3 linked regions of the Rattus norvegicus genome follow. The protein of the gene in region 3 purifies or fractionates together with the protein of the main gene of each other region. This does not show direct contact. Links are inferred from orthologs where the notes say so. Each region holds a gene or a part of one and is shown on either strand. Other genes may lie near its edges. The genes, in order: Irf2bpl, Tead4 and Vgll4.

The links.
Region 1: the proteins of Vgll4 (region 3) and Irf2bpl purify together in Homo sapiens (affinity purification with mass spectrometry; 3 studies listed by BioGRID and IntAct, counting the BioPlex papers as one, with this or other methods). This does not show direct contact. The link is inferred for Rattus norvegicus from reciprocal best matches to the Homo sapiens genes VGLL4 and IRF2BPL.
Region 2: the proteins of Vgll4 (region 3) and Tead4 purify together in Homo sapiens (co-immunoprecipitation; 5 studies listed by BioGRID and IntAct, counting the BioPlex papers as one, with this or other methods). This does not show direct contact. The link is inferred for Rattus norvegicus from reciprocal best matches to the Homo sapiens genes VGLL4 and TEAD4.

The regions. Positions count from the first base shown.
Region 1 is NC_086024.1:112,259,396-112,263,774, forward strand, and holds the start of Irf2bpl (probable E3 ubiquitin-protein ligase IRF2BPL), read right to left. Parts: upstream 2,870-4,379; 5' UTR 1,977-2,869; coding exon 1-1,976. UniProt on the Homo sapiens protein: Probable E3 ubiquitin protein ligase involved in the proteasome-mediated ubiquitin-dependent degradation of target proteins. Through the degradation of CTNNB1, functions downstream of FOXF2 to negatively regulate the Wnt signaling pathway.
Region 2 is NC_086022.1:163,199,333-163,202,975, reverse strand, and holds part of Tead4 (TEA domain transcription factor 4), read left to right. Parts: intron 1-154; coding exon 155-210; intron 211-2,929; coding exon 2,930-3,069; intron 3,070-3,643. UniProt on the Homo sapiens protein: Transcription factor which plays a key role in the Hippo signaling pathway, a pathway involved in organ size control and tumor suppression by restricting proliferation and promoting apoptosis.
Region 3 is NC_086022.1:149,601,505-149,605,147, reverse strand, and holds part of Vgll4 (transcription cofactor vestigial-like protein 4), read left to right. Parts: intron 1-2,775; coding exon 2,776-2,971; intron 2,972-3,643. UniProt on the Homo sapiens protein: May act as a specific coactivator for the mammalian TEFs.

The sequences.
Region 1 (4,379 bases), on a different chromosome or scaffold from region 3:
GCCAGGCGACGCTGCCCCGGCACGGAGGCAGGCGACACCGGGCTGCTGCTGTTTCGCCTAGCAGATGCAGTGGTGGAGTGCACTGAACTGCCATCCTTGGGCGAATGCGCTGTGCCCAAAGTGTCTGCTACTGACATGAGCGCGGCCATGGGGGACGGACCGTTCTGGGGGGCTGACTCGGGCGGGGTGGTCCGATTGGAATGAGGTCCCAGAGGTGGAGGGGGTGGAGGCGGTCCCCCTGCTGCGTGTCCCGGCGCCGCAAAGCCCCCCGCGGACATAGTGAGCTTCAGCGCCTCGCTCTGGTTTGCCATCCACTGCTGCCTCTGCTGCTCCTCACCGAGCTTCAGTGCGCTTTCAGCTGAGTCTGGAGGCTCCGGGGATGCCTTCCTTTTGCGCAGGCTGGCTGCTGCACCCCGGCCCGTGGGCGCCGCGGGTGGCAAGGCTCCAGTTCCTGGAGGTGCGCTGGGGGCGCGGCTGAGACTCACCAGCGCCGTGGGTAGCATGGGACAACTGGCATCTAGGTAGGGCTGGGGCAGCATGTCCGCGCCGGGCACGCCCTCCTTGAAGAAGCGCACAGCTTCGGGCAGTAGGTCCCCAAGAAGGCGCCAGTCGCCAGAGCCATGCTTTTTCTCGTACTCCAGGTATTTGAAGCCAGAGGACAGACCCCGGCCAAAGTCCTTCATGCAATCCTGGTACATCTGTTTGGCCACCCCAGACGCGCTGGAGTACACATTGCCGGAGCCCGTGGGATACTCAATGAACAGCTTCAGCTCGTAGTCCATGCCGGGCTTAGAGACCGCGTCGAAGGCAAAGACACGACCCAACAGCGAATGGTCCTTCTTGAAGCGCACCTCGTAGGGCGTGCAGCCAGCCAGCGTGAGCAGCGTGTCACGGACCATCTTGGGCTTGTTAGCCCACTCCTCCGCGCGGTTGCGCAGGCTCTCGCTCAGCTCGGCCAAGGCCTCAGCGTTGCGCTGCTTTTCCTTTAGCTCACGCTCCTGGTCTGTGCTCGACACCGATCCAGGCCTCTTACCAGCAGCACCCACGCCCACCTCTGCCACTGTCGACGAGGTCGATGACGGAGCAGAGGATACAGTGGCCGACACACCCGGGGGACCCCCGAGACAGGCGGGCCCCCCAGGAGCACCCGGAGGTGCTGGAGTCGGGGGCCCTCGGCTTCCCCCCAGCCCATGGGGCGGAGGCAGTACCGCGGCGCTGGCCGGGCCATTAAGCAGCGTCTGCGGCAATAGGTTGGGGGGCACGGTGAGCTGGGGTCCCCCGCCACCACCCGGGTTGGGCAGCCCGGTCACCAGCCCACTATGAGTCCCACGCCGAGAAGCCACCGATGTTGCCGCTGAGGATGAGTTGGGGCTCTGGCGGTTCAGCTCCGGGGGACCCTCCTCTGGTGCCGGCTTGGGGAAGCCGTTGGGACCTCCCAGGCCGTTGGGCAGCCGGGCGGCGTGGCTGCTGCTCCCCAGACTCACCGGGGGAGGCGGGTACTCGAAACGGCTGCGTTGTTCAACCGCGGCGGCGGCGGCAGCAGCCGCGGCGGCCGCTGCGCTCAGGCCATAGCGCTCCAGACCGGACGGGGCGGGCAACACTGCAGGCTTGGTAGAGCCATCGACGTGGTTGAGCTGCTGTGGCTGCTGCTGCTGCTGCTGCTGCTGTTGTTGTTGCTGCTGCTGTTGCTGAGCGGCGGCAGCTGCTGCTGCCGCTTCCTTGGCGGACAAGGCCACTGTCTTGACCCCGACTGGCGGCGGCGGCCCGGGGGAGCGGCCGTCTTGGAAGCAACCGTGCGCCCGCTTCAGCTGGCGTGCTGTCTCGATCACGAATTCTATGCGGTCGGCGCCTTCGTAATTGACGCAACCACGGCATACGGGTTCGGAGAAGTCCCAGATCATGGCCCAGGGCATGCGAGGCAGGTCGCACAGGTAGCAAGACTGTCTCCGGGACGAGGACACCTGCGCCGCCGACATGATGCCAGCCTCGGGGAAGGTAGGCCCCCGCCCGGGCTGTCTCCGCGGCGCTTTCTCCTTCGGGAGGACTAGCTGGCTGGGGAAGGAGTCCGGCTGCGGGGGAGGGGAGAGGAGGGGGGCGAGAAAGTTCTGCCCCAGGGGCTGGAGGGAGCGCGAGTCTCCACTGCCGGCGCAGTAGTGCCTCTCGGCGGGGGCTCCACCGCCCAGGCGACCGACGGGTTCCGCACGCTCCTCGCCCCCACCTCCTACTGCGGCTGTCTTGTCCAGAGCAGAGCACCGGGTGCCTTCTTCCTGGTGCGGCGGATCAGGGCTGCGAGCTCCGGGCCTGGGGGGAGGGGGCTAGGGTGTCCGGGGCCGACCGCCAGTGGCCTCTTGGCCCCCTCCCCGGAGTGATTGAAGCGTGGAACGCGAAGGGGGTCCTCCCTACGATCTGAGTCTTCTCTACGCCAGGCGCCCCGGGGAGAGGGTTAGAAGGTTTTGCCACCCGGTGCCCAGGTCCAATCTTGCTGAAGCCGCTGATTCCCCGGGAGGGCCGGGGGAGGAGGTGGCTGCCAAAAGAGGAGCGTTTCCCTTCCGCAGCGACGGCCGTTGCGCTGGCGGCGCCTGGGTTTGCACGCCGGAGAGAGCAGCTGCGGCCACCGTTTCCAAGACACACGAGAGCAGAGGAGAGGAGCGCACGCACGCAGGCTCCCACCACCCCCTGGCCTGACCACCTCTCCGGCCACAGAGGCTGGCGGCGCTCACGTTGGCTGCAGGGCGCTCGCTCGGCGCCTCCACCCGGGTCGCATCCCTTCCCGCTCGCGCTCGCCTGGAATGTGGGGTTGTGATTGTTACTCTACGTTCCGGAGGCGCGTCTCAGCGCTCCTGCTCCGGCTGCGGCTCGCGCTGTCCCCGGCTTGGCCGCGCGGGATGCCGCCCGGGCGGAGCGCTGACGTCACCACCATGCTCTGCACCAGTCCCCCAGCCCCCCCTTTACACTTCCTCTGTCTGTGGAGCCCACTTGTTGCTTGCGAAAGGCGCATGCGCGGCAGCATGCCCAGATTCCTCCCTGTCGGCCCCTCCTCCGCGCCTCCACCCTCCCTCCCCTCCCCCCTCGGCTGTGTGTGTACCACAGCTGAGGCCCGGGGAGCTAAAGCTGCAAGTCCAGGGTTTGGGTGCCGGGGAGGGGGGGTTCCGGGCGAGGAGGCGGGATGAAACAGGCGATGACCTTTCCTTTTCCTGCCTGGCTTTCCCAAGTAACAAAACATTTAAGAGCCACGAGTGTTGTTTCCGATTCCCGTTCCCCACCCCACCAAACCCCCAGGCAGTAAAATTAAATGCCCTGTTTGACGAGTTTCACTTTGAATTTCATATAAGGGTATTACCTATTTAATCTGCGACGAGAGCTCCCTCCCCCGTTAATGTTAACATTCCTTGCCACCATTGGTGCCCAAACACCTGCAGAATTAGCATTTCTCCCATCTTCAAGAAATTACCTTTCAGATTTGCTTTTGCGACCCAGCCTAAGAATGGAATAGGAGTTGTGAGACTATCACTAAATGAGCCACCCCTCTCCCTGGCCGAACTTTATAAAATATTTTGACTGAATGTCTAAAGAAGCTCGGATCACTCGGAGGTCTTCTGAATACAGCTGCAGAGGAGGGCAGGGAAGGGGGAGTGAGGAATTGGTCAAACAGGTGAGTGGTTTTCTGGGTTTCATAAAGGCGGGGAGGGGCATTTAATAACACTGTGTGCTAGAGTTTGGGACATAGCTCATCGAGGGAGCGCTTGTTCAGGATGACCCAGGCTCAGAACACTATCCTCAGAATCGTAAACAAATAAAGCACAGTTTTCAAAGTTCCTTCTGTGTGTTGTGATTTAATTCCACACTGTCCCGGTGCACTCTGGGAGGTCATGATTTCTTCTCCCTCCTAAGATCACTGCCCATCCTTATTGCTTACTGTAAAAACTGATAGAGTTGGTCTTAGCTCTGGCTGGGGCATGTTACTTGGTTTCCCTATTTATTGAGTTTGCTTTTTTCTTACGTAAATTAACATAATCCCTGTGGAAGGTTGGTGGAGGGGAGGGGATTTGATAAGGCTGGGTTTGCCCTACAGGATTGGAATTTCTTCACTATTGCTACCGGCTTTGTAACCTTGAGCTCTGCTTATATAATATTTTCCCTCTGCAAAATGGAATCATCTCTGTCAGCTTGATGGGTTGTCGATTTCAGGTTGTGCCTTGTGCTTGTGACAGGTTACTCTAAGACAGGTACAAAGATGGGCATTGGAAAAGTAGTTCCTTTGCTTCAGCTAATTATTTTTATTATAATGTAGATACATGGGTTGGAGAGATGGCTCAGTGGTTAAGAGCACTGACTGATCTTCCAGAGGTCCTGAGTTCAAATCCCAGCAACCCCATGGT
Region 2 (3,643 bases), about 14 Mb from region 3:
AACAGATCTATTGCTTCTCTAACTCAGATACAAAGCCTGGGAGAGTCGACAGGGGAGGGTGCTGGAAACCAATGCCTGCTAAGGTCTAAGGCTGTCAGAGCTTCTCTACAGCTCTTCCCAGAGCCTGATGCCTTCTTTCTCCTTTCTCCTGCAGTGTGAAACCTTTCTCTCAAAACACCTACGCTGTCCAGCCTCCGCTGCCTCTGCCAGGTAGGTAGATTCCCTATGTCACACCCTCTGCCTCCTGCCTCAGGGCCCAGGTCCCCAATACCCCAGTCCTGTTCCTATCACTGCTAGATGTCATGCTGTCACGTGTTCAGATCATGCATCCCAGTTTTCTGGCTCTACCACGTTTCTTGCCTCTAGCTGGCATGCTGCGGCCATGCCTCATGGGTGTCCCGTGGTGTTCCGGGGTGACGCCAGATGCTTGCCTGTTGTGCACAGGGCTGGCTGGGACACAGAACTGGAAGGAGGTGCTCGTGTGCCCAGGTCACTCTCTTAGGGCACATGTGCTGCTAGCTCTTCGGGCTTTCCCCTTGGAATGCTACCTACTGCTTCTCAGTTGGGAGCTGTGGGGCACTGGATTCTGAGCCTAACCCTTCCCTAGCACAGGAGACGCTGATGCCTGGAGTGTACATTGATACCTAAGCAGCTTGCTGGTTTGTGCCCTTCCCCAGGCTTCAGCCCTTACCTTCTCAGGAGGTTTCCTCACCCTTTCCACACTGCAGTCCAGGCCACGGTTTTCAGCCTTCCTGGAAGGGTGACCAGCTGTGCCACTCTGGTTGTGGCCCCTCAGGCTTTCCTGGCACTCGTGGTGCCCACTCACTGCTTCCTTCACCCCTATACGGAGCATCTCTGAGTTGGGTCCAGTCCTCATATCCCTGTCCTCTTTCCTGTTCTCTCTCCTCTGTCCATGTTGATGCAGTCTGCACTCAGATCCACCTAACTCTTGCCCAGATTACTGCAGTCGCCTCTTCACTGGTCCCCGTGATTCCCAAAGCATCTCTCGACATGCTATTTCTGGCCTTAAGATGCTTCCCGGCCCCATCGTTCCTTAACGGTGAGCTCTGAGCTCTGCAGTAGATCTGCTGGACTCCTGAGACTCAGCTTACTCTGCTCCCTGGTCCTGTCCACTGTGCTCCCTGCTCTGCCTCTGGGCTGTGGCTAGACTGCTCCTCCTGGGCCTTGGATCCTCTCACCTGTCGCCACCCAGGTTAGGCGCCCACTGCTTGCCCAGCCAGGGCTCTGTGGACCTCTGTCTAACAGAAGTGTTCATCACTCCCATTTCTGCTTGTACTCGGACACATGTATCTGAGTATCCTTGTGGGATCTTCCTTCTTTTGTTTACACTGTGCTGTGCCCACTGCTTCTGCCTAGGGTGCTAGAGGTCATCAGACTCCCAGAAGGAGAGCGTGGGTCATGAATCTACTGTGTCTCCCTCTGTGCCACCCTTCCGTCACAATGAAGGAATGAAAATCTGCCCAGCAATGGCAGGCTTGCTTGGAGTGCTAACAGCATCAAAACCACAGCTCCCATCCTAAATGGAATAAAGGATGGTTTATGCTGGAGCCGTTATGAGAGACCATGGCCTGGGAACACAGATTTAGGTTACCCCAAATTCCATGTTCCAACGTGGAAACGGGTTCACAGGGTTTTAGATTTTTTTTACTGAACAAAGAAAGTCATGAATCAAGACAACCTTGAACTACTCTGGTGGATCCACCAGCGTATGCAGGTACAACAAGATTCAGGGAGATATTCTATAGGTCTAAAATGCTCTGGGCTGACACTCTTAGCTCTCGGAATGGCAGAAACTAGTGCTCTGCTAAGTTAATAACTTCTGAGAGGTTTCTAATTACTATCATGTGGTGTTAGTTCAGATACAGAGCGGGGTAAGGAATGGCTGTTCAAGAAGACCACAACTAGCCCTGAATAAAGTCATTAGCCTCTGAGACGTGAAATTCCCGTCTCTCCACTGTTCTGACGCCCCAGTTGGCCTGTCCGTCTGTGAAGACACAGAAACTCCCTCCAGGAGTTTTTTGTTCCCAGCCAGACACAGCTGCTTTTCAGGAAATTTTTTGGTTCGAAGTGCTTGCTCCAGGCAGGGTTCCATTCCTCGTATTACCAGGGGGAAAAATTTGCAAAGCCGTCCGTTTCTCAGCCAAAGTTTAACTCAGCCAGTGGCTTTCCTTGACTTGGGAATAGAATCCATCCTGTTCCCCAGCAACCCTGCCCCACTACAGAGCCTTATTTCCCACAATCCAAAAAGCTGTTTAAAGGGTGGCTTTCCAGATTCCCTCAGCTGGCTCCCAGGCCTCCACATTTGCCTTTGCTGGTTCCCAGCTTGGAGCACCCCCCCTCCCCCATCTCGACCCTCATCCCTCCCATCCCCCACTGGCCCCTACTCCCCACTGTCTCTCTTTCAGCTCTGTAGACCAGGCTGGCTTTGAACTCACAGAGATCTGCCTGCCTCTGCCTCCTGAGGGCTGGGATCAAAGGTGCGGGCTACCACTGCCCTGCTACCTCACACCTTCTTTAAGCCTCATCTTCCTGATTGGTTGGCCTCAGGGGCATCGAGAAGTCTTCTGTGGTGCTGGGGGCACACTTCATCAACACTAGCCTAGATCTGCATTCATTTCTTAGAAACCAATGCTCTCCAGGAAATGGATCCCGCTTCCAGGGCCTCTGAGTTACTGTGCTGTTTGCTTCAGCTGGCTGTCTTCCTACCTGGACTAGAAATCACCCTAGGGCAAGAATCCTGCCTGCCCTAACTGCTTTCAGGCAGCCTGGGCTGTTGAGAATCTGTCAGCCTTGAGCATGGGCCTGGTCCACTGATCTGGATCAAGCACAGGCTCTGCCCTGCCACTGATAATACAAGCAGGGAGAACAAGGAGGGGCAGGCTCCATGTGTTACTCTCCCTTCATGTAGGCTTTGAGTCTCCTGTAGGACCCACCCCATCACCCTCTGCACCGCCAGCTCCTCCATGGCAAGGCCGCAGCATAGCCAGCTCCAAGCTCTGGATGTTGGAGTTCTCCGCTTTCCTGGAGCGCCAGCAAGATCCTGACACAGTAAGTCCCCACCATGTCCAACTGTCAAACTCCCAAGAGAGACCATCTTAATCCCAGGGGTACTGTCACCATTGTGACGCCCTGGTCTTGCAGGCTCAGAATAAGTCACCAATTCCATAGGCCTTGTCCTTAAAGAAAGGCCTAGAATCCTGCAGCTTCTGTCTCTCTGCTGCTATGTATATGCCCCTGTCAATGGAGACCCTGCCCACATAGTAGGTCCCCTAATACACACCTTATTAAATGAATTCTCAACCCTGGAAGTTCTCCCCCCACGGAAGACCTCACCTTCCACCCTCCCTACCTCCTCTGGCTTCCTTCCCTTTCTTTCCCCTCTCCCTTAGGTTTTAATAGAGTCCTCGTTCTTTCTTCTCCCCTCACTGTCCTGTGTGTCATTACCTTCCCCCACCCCCCACTTCTTTACTCCGTTCTTTCCCTTGCATTCTGTATATCTCGACCTCAAGCCTTCCTGGCTTCTGTTCTCTCAGGCTAATCCCCCATCTCTTATTTCTCCTCTTATTCTAGTGGCCTTTCCTCCCAACCCCGCCCCTCCCCCACCCTCCACTATTAGCTCTGA
Region 3 (3,643 bases):
CTTTGTGGGCAGGGGACAGAAATGTCAGGCAACCTGGATGGTGCCCATGCTTTCTTGGCTTTGAGGTAGAGGTGGTGTAGTGATGTGGCCTTCTTCCTGGTTGTCAAGGGATGGGAAGCTAGGATTGGGGGCACAGAGGATATGGTCTGCACCATCATATCTCCACCGATGACACAATCCCTGATCAAAACAGGTGGCCTCTAGGTTGGTCGTGGCTTTGGGAGGGTCTAAAGGCTTAGCTTCTGTTCCCACAGCTATTAGTGCTAGACTGTGGGAAGGCTTGAGACTGTCATCCAGGTTCCCAGCGCAGTGACGACAGCACAGATAGCATCAGGAAGGCTCGCTCTGTCACCTCCAGGATATCCTGTGTGGGAAGCCTGAGGCTGGGTGGGTCCTTCCTTACTCTTCTACCCTGCCAATGTACCATGATTCCTGGGGCTGAGCAAGATGATGCATGAGGCTAGCCCTCCAGTCTGTACCTGGTGAAGGGCAGGACACTTGTTTTACCTCCATGTTTTCTTCAGAATTGTACTTCCTGGGATCTAGTCTATTCTCTCCAAATTCTGTTGATATTTTGTCTTTGGAGCTCAGAGAGTGATTGGAAGCACATGGTGACCATCCCTAGCAGACTCTGGATTGGATGAGTATGGTGGTCTCTCTTTGGCTACCCACCTTTTATTTCTCAGTAGAAATGCCCACCTATGGGCAAGGTTGCTTGTCCCAGGCAGTCCTGTGAGTCCTCTAGGCGCCAGCAGGGCCCATGTTGGTTTTCTGTCCACCAACTTGGTCTTTAAGGAGCTGCAGGATGTATGTGGTTTGGGTCAGCGTCCTGATGGCGCAGGACACTCTGGGCTGTGATTCACTCAAAGGGGGAGGGACATGGAAAACAATGTCTGTCTTTAGGCTCCAGGAACCAGGAAAATGAGCTGGAAACAAAGTGATGTGTAATTTTACTAAAATTAACCAGCGCATTCCCAGGCTTGCCCTGTGTTTCATGGTATTCTGTGTGATGTATGCTCAGTGCCAGTTGACTGATTTCCTAGGCATAGTCCTGGAAGCCCCTCTTGGTACCACCCAATTCTGTTCTCTCTATGCATCTCATCATTGAAGTTGGTGCTTGGCCATGTGAAAATGCTGTGGGAATCAAAGGTGGGAGGTGACAAGGACTGGTGGCCTTGTGGTCAAGGAGACAAGTGATGTTAGCCTGCCTGAGTCTTCTTGCCGTCTGTTGGCTGTCTTCCCCAGACCCTCAGCCCTCCTTCTGTTGGGTTCTTCTGTACCCATTGCCTGCCACAGGGTCTCCTGGGGATCATGGTCGTCCCTGGGATTTCCTGTCTGCGCTAGTGTCTGCTGCTTGAGCTCCTGTGAGTGAACCGTGTGAAGGATGCGGATGCAGCTCTGGTTCCCCATGAGTCTTCCCACCCCCAGTTCTGCACTCTGATGTCTTCTTTTCTCTGTGCATGGTCTGCAGCTCAGGGCAGGCAGATTTCCTCTCCCCAATGGTTTCAGTGCTAGTGTAGGACAGGCAGAGATGACCAACAGTGGTGTGGCTTCTGCCCTGAGGGTTGCACTAGAATTCAGGGCCACTACACATTCAAGGAAGCACAATATGGCTGTAGTCTCCCTGAGGATGGTTTGCAGCAAGAGCCAGCGGTGAGCATGGAAAGGCATCTGGAACAGCCGATGGAAGAGGTGTTGACTGCTGATATGTGTGTGTGTGGTGAGAGCTGTCTCTGTAAGGTCAGATTTGCTTAATAAGAAGATGGCTTTGAGATGAACGAAGGGAAGCCACGGAATAACGCCACTACAGAGTGGGCCGGTCAGTGTACGGCAGGAGAGTTTTATGGGAGACCACCAGAGGAAAAAGGAATACTAGGTACCCAGGATTTGCTGTGTCATTTCTTACAATTGAAAGTTAATTGGCCACTAATTAAAGGTATGGCTGTCACATTTGTGGTGTGTGTGTGACATTTGGTGGGGGGCAGGCATGGCTGCTTTTTGCTCACAGCTAGAGTGCACATGACCTGCTTCCCTGGTGGCAGAGAACAAACGGGCCACGCAGGGGCTCAGAGAATAACCTGAAATTTCCAAAAGTCTTGGGACTCATCTCCCATTTTCCTTTCAATTTTAAAGTTGAACAGGTTTGCTCTGAAGGTTGGTTAAAAAGGGACAGAGCCCCAGGGGCTCTAGAATCAGTGGGTGGAGGGAGGAACACCTTGTGTCAGCTGGGCCTTGTGGGTTCTCATGCCATAGTTGTACTGATGCTCTCTCCAGACCCGTGTAGAGGCAGCATTGAGCAGCTGGCCTGCAGTCCATGGGGCATCTCCCAAATGTGCAGGCACTCACAGCTCACGGGAGCTGCTGTCTCCTGCAGTGTCTGCTGCTCTGGTTTCTGGGTACAAGTGCTGGCCACTGGGAGCAGACACCACTGTGGTCCCACTGCAGAACTGGCGTATAGGATTGCACAATTTCTTTGGGTCAGCAGCATTCCCGTCTTCCTCAGTGACCAACTGTGCCCAAACTGACCATGAAATAGATCTTATATGTAGGCAGGCGACACTGCTAAGTAACATGTCTGCCAGTAGGAAACAAGGGAGGCCATGAAGTCAACTTCAGTCCAAAGGTGCCTCTCCTATACTCAAGGCCTGGTTCCACAACTCACCTGTTGGTCCTGCCCTTAGCATTAGCATAGGAATGTCATGGAGCCATCTGGGGGCTCCTCACCAGGGCCCTGTTTGCCAGTCATCCCACTCTGAGCATGGCCCTGTTTTGCAGGAATAAGACTGTCAACGGAGACTGCCGCAGAGATCCCCGGGAACGGAGCCGCAGTCCCATCGAACGGGCTGCAGCCCCCGCTGTAAGCTTGCATGGTGGCCACCTGTATGCATCCCTCCCCAGCCTCATGGAGCAGCCTCTTGCCCTGACTAAGAACAGCAGTGACACAGGAAGGTCAGCTGTGGAGCGGCAGCAGGTGTGTATGTCAGGCAGCTTGGCCAGTTCTCATCTAGAGGTGGCCACATCAGGCTGGAATGTTGGCGACCAAGAGCTCCATGGAGAACCCCCGAGCAGAAGTCCCAAAGTGAGGGGACCTTGGTAACCTCATTCCTTTGGCTTCGTCTCTGCACAGTGCAGGGTTGGTCCAGATGAGTGCCTGGCCCTGGCACTCTGTTCCTCAGGACTAGTGTAGCAATCCCCTTGAGAGGCCTGTCCTCACCCCATATGATTTCATAAGGCCTAAGTTAAATGTCAGTGGATTGCTTGGGGCTCAGATCCTACAACGTCAGTGGTCATAACCTGGAATAAACACAGGCTATTATTATATTATCATTATTATTATTAATATTACTACTACTACTACTACTAAAGGAAAATAAAATTATTGCTATTTACAAAATAGGCCAGACCTGATAGTATAGGCATATAATCTCAACTACTTGGAAGGCTGAGGCAGGAGGATTACAAGTTTGAGGCAACTTCAGAAGGCCTTGATTTACAAAGAGCAAGAGTGGTAGGGAGAGGTCATGGGCACTTGCCTAGTATGTACAAGGCTTTAGCCCCACACAGAAAGCCCCAGAGACAGCAAAAGGGCACAAAAACTGCAGTGAGAGACTTTAAAAGCAGAGGCAGCATGCGGGGTTAGGTC